Coturnix japonica: one gene and its partner. Each later gene encodes a partner of the first gene's protein in a complex. Links are inferred from orthologs where the notes say so. Each region holds a gene or a part of one and is shown on either strand. Other genes may lie near its edges.

Region 1 (5,093 bases):
CCACTGCAGTTCAGAGTGAATCCAGCCATATCCTAATCAGAACAGACCACGTTTGGTGGGGACGTGCTGGAGACCCCCAGAGATTCTCACCTCTTCCCATCAGGGTGAAAAGCAACACTATTTATCGGACCAAAATGACCCTTCACTCTGCCAAACTCTTCTTCAAAAGCCAAGTGGAAGAATCTGGGAGAAGAAAGAGGCAGGTTAGGGATGTCATCAGGGTTTCCTCAGAGAAGCTCTGCAATTCTAGTAACTCTCCAAATGCTGCCAATAGCAAGACGCTCTGGGAGCAGGAGAGAACTCCAAGTGCAGACTCAGCCCTGCCAGAGAAGAGCACCAACCTTGCCTCAAATTTGCCAATCCTGGTGGAGGTCGTGGTCACATCCATGGCCTCCTGCCCACCACCGAGCACAACCTGCATAGGAAGAAAGTCACAACACTGCAGTGCTGCTTACACCATATGTGGAACAACAGCCAGGGTAGGAGGGAGCCCAGCCTTGGGGAAGCCTCCCACTAACCCAGCACAGCCCATGACAGCAGTCAAGTCCCCTGGCCCTGTCCCACAGTGATTCTTTAGCTCAGGCTGAACTGGTGACACTGTGCCTTCCAGCTGCCTGAGACAATGCAGGAGCTGCACTAAGACCGTTAGTATGCGTGGGCTCATGCTTACGTGATCAAAAATGGGGGAGAGTGCAGCAGAGTTCACCGGTCGCTCTGTCCGGAATGTCTTCAGATGTTCCAGCGTTGTGCAGTCAAATAGCTAAAATGCAAAAGGAAGAGAGTGGCAGTCCAAGTATCTCATGCAAACCCCAGCTGCCAGTCCTCACATGAGCAGGTGTTACTTCTAAAGTCACTCCTGGGCATCCAAATGTCAAAGCTATTGCTCCAGAATCCCAAATATCAGCCCTCCCACTAAGCTTTGGCTCTACACCTGCTCAAATTCCCAAAGAGAAAACCACTGAGGCAGCCATGACTTTGAGCAGGGGTCCTGCAAGCGGATGTCAGCAATGCACCGCAGTCCCCCCAGGAGGCCTCACCTTGGCAGTGTTATCCTTGGAGGCAGTGATGAACATGGTCATGTCCCTGGAGGTCTGAATATCATTGATTTGCTTGGTGTGCTCCTTGATGTTTGAAAGCTGCTCCCCTGACTGAAGGGTAAACGAGGCAGTTTAAGTGAACTGGCAAGGAAAGTGTACAAACAACTTCTCTGCTAAAACCGACTTTAGATGTTGCTGTCAGCAGAAAGGTAGGCATATATATGTTCAGCTTTGCTGAAGAAAGCCACATACTTTAACTATCCTTCCTCAAGGCCACTGGTTTGAGCCAAAAAAACCCACATTCTGCCACATGATCACAACAGGAACGTTGCAACATCCTCTCCCAAGAGTTGCTGCCTGAGGGTGATGCTCCTCCTTATCACACTGACCTTGGCACTGAACTGGTTCAGCTCCCCACTCTCGTGTCCTGCGATGATGAATTCTCCCAAAGGGCCCCACACAGCACTAGTGATTTTAGAGTCGCTGCAGGGGATTTTCATGTAAGGCTCGTTGTTCTCTGCAGGAAGGAAGGATGGAGACACACAGACTGAGTGGCACCAGCTCTTGGCAGCCAACGCTTCCCCTTATTCCCAGTTGCAGGCACAGGCCCGGATTCCTCACCGATTTGGCTGGGGTCACGCAGGTCAAAGAAGCTCACAAAACACTGATAACCCATCTGCTTGTCCGTGGAAAACATGATGATGTTTCCTCCAAAGTCAAAGCCACACGTCCTCACTGCCGAGCTGGTCTTCACCAGAGCGAGCTGCTTTCCTGAACACGGAGCAGAAACCATCACTTCACTTGGTCTTGCATTGCAAACATTAATGAAAGCAATCAAACAGAAGTGCAGTCATAGAAAGAACAGGAGCATCAGAGCTGACAGACAGGTTGGGTGACTGGAAAGCACTAAATGTGCTTGGTGAGCAAAATGAATAAGTGCCCATTGAAAATAAGGCAAATACACAAACAGCCAAGAAAGGACTTGGGCTCTTTCAGGGGCAAACAGGCACATGTTGCACAGATCCCAGAACAGGACAGAGCTGAGTCAGATCCAGCCACGTGGGAGAGAAGAGCCTTTACCTGTTTCACAGTCCCAGAGCCGACAGCTGTTATCTGCAGAGCCAGTGAGCACATGTCGGGTGTCCCCTTGGTCAGCAGTTAAGGGATATCAGCACGTTTGCAGCCCCAAAAATCATTAGATACCCAGGGAGTATTTACACACAAGATTAAGAAGCTGCGTTACATTGAGAAATTACAGGACTTGGGAAACTTCCCAAGGAGCACAAATAACCAAGAGATGGCACAAGGGACAATTAAACACAGCAGCTGAATGGAGCCATCCGTGCTGAATCACTGCAAGGAACGAGAGCACAAACTGGTTGTGCACCCAAAGGATACAGTCAGCATCCACACACCACACGGCTCCTGTGTGCCCATTGTAGGTGCCCAGCCGTTCTCCATTCACCGAGTACCAAACGTTGACGATCTAAAAGAAGATAAAAAGGCTTGAAGAGCCGCTCTGACCAATTACCTGAGCTCGTTAATTACCCACCTTTATCCCTCCCCCCCCATCGCACACAGCCCGGTTTCCCGGTGCCCCCGGTTCACTCACGGGATCCTTGGCCACAGTGAACAGCAGGTCTCCCTCTCGGTTGTACTTGATCTGTGTGATGGATCGCTCGTGGCCCTGCAGCAGGATCGGCTTCTGCACGCGGCAATGAGGGAAGGCGCCATTTAACGCTATGCCAAGCGAGGCCGAGGCCCCGGCTGGGGCTCAGGCTGCCACCACCATCAGCCCAGGAGCCCCGCCGACCCCAGGACCCAGCCGGGACCCGCATCAGCCCGGCCCGGCCCACAACCCGACTCACCATGGCGGACACGGCGCTGCCGGAACCGGAGCGAGAGAGAAGAGGCGTGGAGTATCACGTCCGGGTCACGGGGCGCTATGGCGGCCGCCGGTGAGCTTCCGGGTTTGGGGGACGGGCCTCGGGTGGATCCCGGAGGGGCTGAGGGGACGGGGTGGGCTGTGTGAGGGGGCTGCGGGCTGATGGCGGCCGGGCCAACAGCCCCGGGGCTGAGCTGATGTTGTGCTGCAGGGCAGGCCGCCGTGCTGGTGCTGGTGTCGGTTCTATGGGGCAGCACCGGGCCGTTCCTACGGACGGGAGCGGCGGGGCTGTTGGACGTGCAGCGCCGGGGGCTCCTACGGCAGCTGCTGGCCGAGATCAGGTTCCTGGGCTGCAACTACAAGGTGAGCACAGCCGGAATCATGGGGTGTATGGGACGGGCCTTCATGCTCCTTCCTGCACTCAGCACCTCCCATCTATCAGCAAAATGATTTGTACTCTATAACATTTCATCTACCCACCTGCAGTCCTGCTCTTCTTATGGAGAACTTAGACACTTGTAGAAATTAACCCTCATATTTCACATTCAGACCTGCCTGCCTTCTGCAGACATGGCATCCAAGGCTTGCACTGCTTGCTGCAGGCATTGCAATGCTTTTCCATGCAGTGACCTGTCTTCTTTCCGCAGTACATGGTGCCATTCCTGCTGAACCAATGTGGATCGCTCCTCTTCTACCTCACCTTGGCATCTGCAGGTCAGCTCTCACTGCTTTGTCCAGTGGGTTGATCAGGGTTTGGGGAGGAGCTGTATTACTGATTCATTTGGTGATCTGGCTGAACATCAAGTATCATCATCATAGTATCACAGTCTGGTGTGGGTTGGAAGGGACCTTAGAGATCATCGAGTCCAACCCCCGGGATTCGAGCCTCCTGTGTAGCAGAGCGGCACTTCTACCACTTGTGCCACAGGGGGATTCAAGTAGATGTCTTTGAATGAAGGACGCATCCATTTCAAACCGTGTTACAATTGTTCAATTTCAGAGCTGTCCCTGGCAGTGCCGCTCTGTAACTCCCTGGCTCTGATAGTCACGCTGGTGACTGGAAGGATTTTGGGAGAGGATATTGGTGGTAAAAGTAAGTTACGCTTAAAACATTTGGCACGTTGTATTCTGCATCTATTTGTTGTTTTAATGTTGTGTGCTCCCTTCTGGTAACTGCTTAGGCAGTAGTTTGTGCAAGGAAGCTGAAAAGGAAGTGAAACTGACTTGTAAGGGGGTAGAGCTAGTGAATTTAAATTGGCTGGAACTGGCTGTTTTAAGCTAGCAGAACTTGTAGGCCTGAGCCTTCACCTAATGATGTATTTAACCATAAGAGAAATGTCCATACACTAACATTATCCTGCTTAAGAAGTTGGGAAATAACAGGAAACTTGAAAACTGAATAGTAGCAATAAGTACCAGTTTGGCTCACATCCATTTAGGCCATCTTTTTTCCTGACTGAATCACATATTCAGCAATGATGGGGGCTGACTGTGTTGAGCTGTGTATGTTCCCAACACAGAACTCTGTATCTCTGCAGGGGCTGTGGCAGGGATGCTGCTCACCCTCCTGGGACTCACCCTCTGTGTAGCTGGTTCATGACCAAGGCACAGTGAGCAGAGGAAACCTGTTCTAAGGTAACTGATGTTTGAAGAGGGGAAACTTTTGGCTCAGCTGCCTCAAGGAAGCTGTTCTGACACCTGGCTGTCTGAAAGTGTGGATCAAATTCCCTGAGTACCAGAGAGGAACAAGGCACATTGCAATGACATCCTATTTAATGCCTTGAGTTAAGGATGCTTTTTTTTCTGTGGGTGGTTCAAGGCAGGGATGATTGAATTGCCTTGTTCAGCACTGGAGGGGTAATAATTGATTAATAAATCATTGAAACAGAAAAAAAAAATCTTTGTTACTCTTGTAATTAATCAGCAACACGGGGGAGGGAAATACAGAAAGCCATCACAGCCCTTTAACTCTTCAGAGTAGTTTTGCGGCCAAGGAAAACATCATTCAGTGCTCCTCATCTTCAGAACTGTTGTCATCCCTTTTCCCTTAGACAGCGCTTTGTGATTTGCCTGTACTCCGTTCCTTTGGGCAGCGAGAAGAAAAAACACATTTATTACAAGTCAGCTTCGATGCAACCTCTCGACTTTCTGAAATGCTGAGCCCTGCAGTT
Region 2 (5,025 bases), on another chromosome or scaffold:
TTTAAACTATTTGGGCTTTCTTTGGTTTTAAATGCACAGATGTAAAGTGCTCTTCATCCTGTAAATTTAAACATACGGAAAGCTTACAGACCACTTATCTGCTTGTGATCTATAAATAAATATGTTTTGGTTTATCTCCCTTTCTCTGCCTTAATCCTCTGCATTCGGTCTTCTCCAAAAGTCACAAACCAATGATTAATTGCAGCAACTCACTGAGGATGTAGTTGAAAAGATTGCAGTAGTTGTAGTAAGATTCAAATCTCTGCTCCAGAGTGGGCCCCCCCTGCAGCGAGAAGACATTACAGTCCATTTAGTCTGAAGTACAGCAAAACTAATGGTCCTTTATGGGCAATAGCCTACAAAGGACAGCCAACAGTCAAGGCAATAGATCTGTTTTGGTGACATTAGAGCTGATATTCAACCACCCACCAATCACTAACATCACCCAGAACAAATTAAATTGTCTCACTGTTGTCCAGTAGAAGAAGGCTGCCTTTTCAAGTCCAGGTAGCTTCTAGTACAACTAAGTGATGAAGTCTCATGTGAATAGAATACTTTAAGTCTCCTTTTCCTCCTCTGTGCTGTCCAGACCTAAGAACTGCCTATTAACCTACACAGCTTTTTGTCCTCTTCCCCTCAAGGAAGGTCTTTGTAAATCCCAACAACACAGCTGCTTCTAGACAATCATACCAAAGAATCATAGAATAGCTTGGAAGGGACCCTGCTGTGGACAGGGCCACCAGTTCAGCCCCCATCCAACCTAGCCTTGAACCTCCAGGGATGGGGCACCCACAGCTCTCTGGGCAGCAGTGCCAGTGCCTCACCGCCCTCTGCATAAAGAATAAGTTTTAAATGCTCTAGAAGACCGATAAACACAGGAGGGAATCACTCTTCCTAGAATTATCTTGTGTCACCTGTAGACACCCCATGGGCAGCTTGGGAACCTCCTACAAAATAACTCAAGCAACCAGTTTCACCTGTTCAGGCAAGTCTTTGATTTAGGAACTTCAAAAAGACTCCTGCATTAACCCATTTCTCCACCCTGTGGTCCAAACCAAAACTGCAATTATTACTCATTCACCATGTAAGTCACACACCTGTCCTGCTTCTTTCTTACAGCCAAGAACTACTCTGATTTTCCTACTGACTTCAAATTAGCCTTTTTAAGGGAAAGAAGCATGGTTTGTTGTTGTTGTTTTTTTAATAGACCATTATTCCTTCTGTCTTCTTCTCCTGTATCCTCTGTGGTGCCAGTTTCTTCCTATCCACAAAACACTCTGACCCCGTATGGTCTTTCAATTACAAGTAACTCAAACTCCTCTTGTGACACCCCCTCATACACCTGCTAGCCTGAAGAAGAAATAAAGAGTCATGAAGAAACACACAAAACTGACCTGTAAGTCATGCAGTTATACAGCTCTAACAGAGAGAAAATTCAGCTATTTCTAACTCGACCCATACCTCCTAAATCTATTCAATATTGTTTTGCAAAACTTTGGAACCACTGATGCTTTAACAGCAGTGCAACTTGTTCACTTTGATGGCAGAAGAACCAAGCGCAACTAAAAGACACAGAGCAAATACTCACGCTGACTTTGGCGTAGATATGCCTATAATACAGCTCCTTGTACAGGATGAGGAAAACTGCATCTGGAAGAGATGAGAGAACTGGATATCAGCAAACCATGAAGCTTAGGCAACTGGATCTCTGAGGCACCGGTGATGTTCCTACTGCCACAGTTACAAGGACAAGTAAAAGAGGATGCTCATTCATCTGACTTTCTGATAGGCATCTACAGAAGGAGCTGCCATAGCAAAGATGAGTGATTCATAAAAACCACATGCCAGCTCCCTAACACATCAAAAGTAATTTAGTTCCTTCATTCTCCTGTAAGGAAAACAGAGTGGAAAAGAAATGCTTACCATTTCCAACCTGTGGGGCAATGGCCTCTGCCTCTGGCCATGGGGTGTTCTTGAAAAACCTTTCTGTTAGCTTTGTCCAGCTGAAAGATAAGACGTGGGGTATGAGAAAACATCCCTGAGCATCACAGAGCTGCAGTTAGAAACCACAGTACAAAGGGCTTGGACTTGATAGGACACTGTCTCCCTTCAAAACTGGTGTTACTAAGGAATTAGAATGGCAAACAAAGCAGTTAAAAAACTGACCATAGAATGGCTTGGGTTGGAAAGAACCTTAAAGATCATCTAGTTTGCATCAGTATTACCGACAACTAAATCAGCTACCAGACTGAGTTGCCCTGGGTCCTATCCAACCCGGCCTTGAACACTTCTAAGGACTGGGCATCCAGAACCTCTCTGGGCTGCTCCAATGCCTCAACAGCCTCACAGTGAAAAACTATCACATCTAATTTTAGTTTTCAACTGTTGCCCTTGTCCTATCACTATCTGCCCATGTAAAAAAGCCGAGTTCCCTCCTGTGGGTAAGCTCCCTTCAAGTACTGGAAGGCTGCAATGAGGTCTCCAGGCTGAACAAGCCCAGCTCCCATCCTTTCTTCACAGAAGAGGTACTCCAGAGGTGGCCTTCCCCTGGACCCACTCCAACAGCTCTACATCTTTCTCATACCGGGGGCCCGGGGCCTTTAAGTATGGGAGGTTTTAAGCAGTGAGAATGCAAGGACAGCCCCGCACCTGTTCTCATAGATGTCCTGGATCTCATACACCTTCTGGTCAATGACATCGCTGGAGACTCGGCTGGCCTGCAGCTCGTACACCTTCTGGTCGATGAGGTCGGACACGGTCTTGTGGAAGTACTGGATGAAGTTCTTGATGACCTCGGGGATCACCTGGTACGTCTGCTGCTCGTACTGCCGCTCGTAGGCCAGATCCTGCTTCGGGTCTCCTGAAGGGAAAGAGGCGGGTTGTAAGCCCGAGGCCTACAGCCCCCACCCCGCGGGGCGGCCCGCACCGCGCACTCACCCGTGTGCATATCATAGTCGTTGGAGTAGGCGTACGGGTCGTAGGCGGCCTGTGAAGACACGATGCGGGGATGTTACCGCGACGAGCACGAACCGGACCCACAAACCCCCCCCCATCCCCGCAGCCCGCCCCCCGCTCGCACATCGTTGTCGTAGTCCTCCCCCGGGTAGGCCATGGCGCGGCGCGGGGCCTGGGCAGGCAGGAAGAGGAGGTGGGACCAAGCGGCACGCTCCGGAAGGCCGGCCGAATTTGTTTAGTCTCTCTATTGGTTAAAATAACTGCTTGTCTTCAGAGGCTTTTCTCTCTGATTGCAGAGTCCGCCTGCCCGTCTGCACTATGTCAGCGACGACCCTTCCCGCCCCTCCCCTCACACCCCGTACCGCCCGGCCCGGCCCGTGAGGGAATGGAGGCCGAGTCTGCTGCGGGGACGGAGTCGGAGTCCGCTCTGGGAGCCGGGATGGCGCTGGGAGGGGCGGCGGGGGAAGCCTCCCTCGGCTACCTGCACGTCCTGTGGCAGCGAGAGGAACCTGCCGGCAAGATCCCGGCCCGCCGCCTGCGCAGGGCCGCCCGCATCCACCGTCGCCTGGGGCCTACGGGCAAGGAGAGCCACGGTGAGCGGGAGCGGGTTCCCCCTTCCTCCCCTGCCCCCTTCCTCCTCCGTGCTTCACACTAATGGCTTTCTTTCCTCCCCAGCCCTGAAGAGGCTGCGTGAGGCTGCCAATGGCAACGACCTGGACACAGGTGAGACTTCAACCTGACGTGAAGCCACTTCCTGGAAAGGCAGTTTGTTCAAAGCTCTTTGTTTCAGCAGAGGACGAGGAGAAGGAAGGTGCAGGTAGTTTGCAGGAATCTTCCTTTAGTTGCTGAAGATCTAGAAGTTGCTTCTCTTGAGCCTTTTGTTCCGTTCTCTGAGCAGAGTGAGACTGATTGTTATATTGATTTTTTCACTGTATTGGGTCCAGCTGCCTCAGGCTAGATTAGCAATCAGCTGTTATTCCAGCTTTTTGGTACGTAACTTTTGCCCACTCATCAGCTCTGTGACTCTCTTGACTTCCATGTACTGTAGATCAGCTGGGTTTTGATCCTAAGCATTCATCAGCAATACTGGCATATGTCATTTGCCCCCTGTCGTGGTTCCTCCTTTGTCTGTTATCAGACCATGTTGTGAACAATCGGAAATAGACGGGATTTGTAACAACCCCTGGCATTACAGGATGGGGTGATGTTGTACCCTCCAGCTTTACAGTACACCTTGTTTCATGAACTGATGGATGCATTCATCTGTGAGCTCTGACCTTGTGCAGGGTCCATACTTACCTGCAGAAGAGCTGGTAGCATCACCCCTTTCTGATCAGGTGTCCCTTCAACTTACCTGCATCCTTTTCTTTCTTGGCACTGCCAGTGCAGCAACTGCTGGAGGATGGAACTGACCCCTGTGCTGCGGATGACAAAGGCCGGACAGCCCTGCACTTTGCCTCCTGCAATGGCAATGATCACATTGGTGAGTGGGAAGGGGATCTTCAGTCATCCATTTTCCATTTACTGTCTGCATAAGCTGGACAGAAACATCCCTTCTGCAGCCTGCAAGCTGCCACATGGACTAGTGGGTCAGCAGCGCACTGCTAAATGACCTTTCTTACGCCATTAAGGTGCTGTCAGTGGGGCAGAGGAAAGGAATTAACGTGTATCTGTGTTATTGCTTCCAGTACAACTGCTTCTGGATCACGGGGCTGACCCAAATCAGAGAGATGGGCTGGGAAACACCCCTTTACATTTGGGTAAGTGCCAGTCAGATGAGCTTTGCATGCAGAGAAATGAGGTGACCGCTGCATTTTATTTGTCCTCTGCATCTTCCTTTTTCCTCTTGCATCACACTATGCATCCCCAGCTTTAATGACTTAGGATTCTTAGCATTTTATTCACATCACCCCTCAGGAGAACTTAAAGGTCAGAGTTAGAGAAAATCCATTTCCCTCCCTCTGCCCATCCTGAGGAGCACGAGATGCATAACAAAAGTATCCAAGCTTGAGCATGAGTTATACTTAATGGTGGAGCTGTTCCTCTTTTTTATGGCAGAAAAACCTTTGT

Evidence for each region. Proteins that work in one complex are often made in the same cells at the same time.
Region 2: EIF3I (region 1) and EIF3L share a complex: the UniProt entries of both Homo sapiens proteins name them as parts of the eukaryotic translation initiation factor 3 (eIF-3) complex. The link is inferred for Coturnix japonica from reciprocal best matches to the Homo sapiens genes EIF3I and EIF3L.

The regions. Positions count from the first base shown.
Region 1 is NC_029538.1:4,527,632-4,532,724, forward strand, and holds the start of EIF3I (eukaryotic translation initiation factor 3 subunit I), read right to left. Parts: upstream 3,024-5,093; 5' UTR 2,996-3,023; coding exon of another isoform or gene 2,983-2,995; 5' UTR 2,909-2,982; coding exon 2,906-2,908; exon of another isoform or gene 2,902-2,905; intron 2,743-2,901; coding exon 2,650-2,742; intron 2,524-2,649; coding exon 2,436-2,523; intron 2,184-2,435; coding exon 2,118-2,183; intron 1,809-2,117; coding exon 1,659-1,808; intron 1,555-1,658; coding exon 1,427-1,554; intron 1,149-1,426; coding exon 1,038-1,148; intron 761-1,037; coding exon 671-760; intron 416-670; coding exon 342-415; intron 184-341; coding exon 91-183; intron 1-90. Other genes in the region: TMEM234 (transmembrane protein 234), read left to right, coding at 2,983-2,995, 3,134-3,285, 3,570-3,636, 3,923-4,015, 4,461-4,522; DCDC2B (doublecortin domain-containing protein 2B), read right to left, coding at 4,924-5,005. UniProt on the Homo sapiens protein: Component of the eukaryotic translation initiation factor 3 (eIF-3) complex, which is required for several steps in the initiation of protein synthesis.
Region 2 is NC_029516.1:46,630,338-46,635,362, forward strand, and holds the start of EIF3L (eukaryotic translation initiation factor 3 subunit L), read right to left. Parts: upstream 3,205-5,025; 5' UTR 3,113-3,204; coding exon 3,080-3,112; intron 2,987-3,079; coding exon 2,938-2,986; intron 2,861-2,937; coding exon 2,650-2,860; intron 2,004-2,649; coding exon 1,924-2,003; intron 1,651-1,923; coding exon 1,589-1,650; intron 284-1,588; coding exon 214-283; intron 1-213. Other genes in the region: ANKRD54 (ankyrin repeat domain-containing protein 54), read left to right, coding at 3,341-3,548, 3,631-3,678, 4,340-4,438, 4,644-4,715. UniProt on the Homo sapiens protein: Component of the eukaryotic translation initiation factor 3 (eIF-3) complex, which is required for several steps in the initiation of protein synthesis.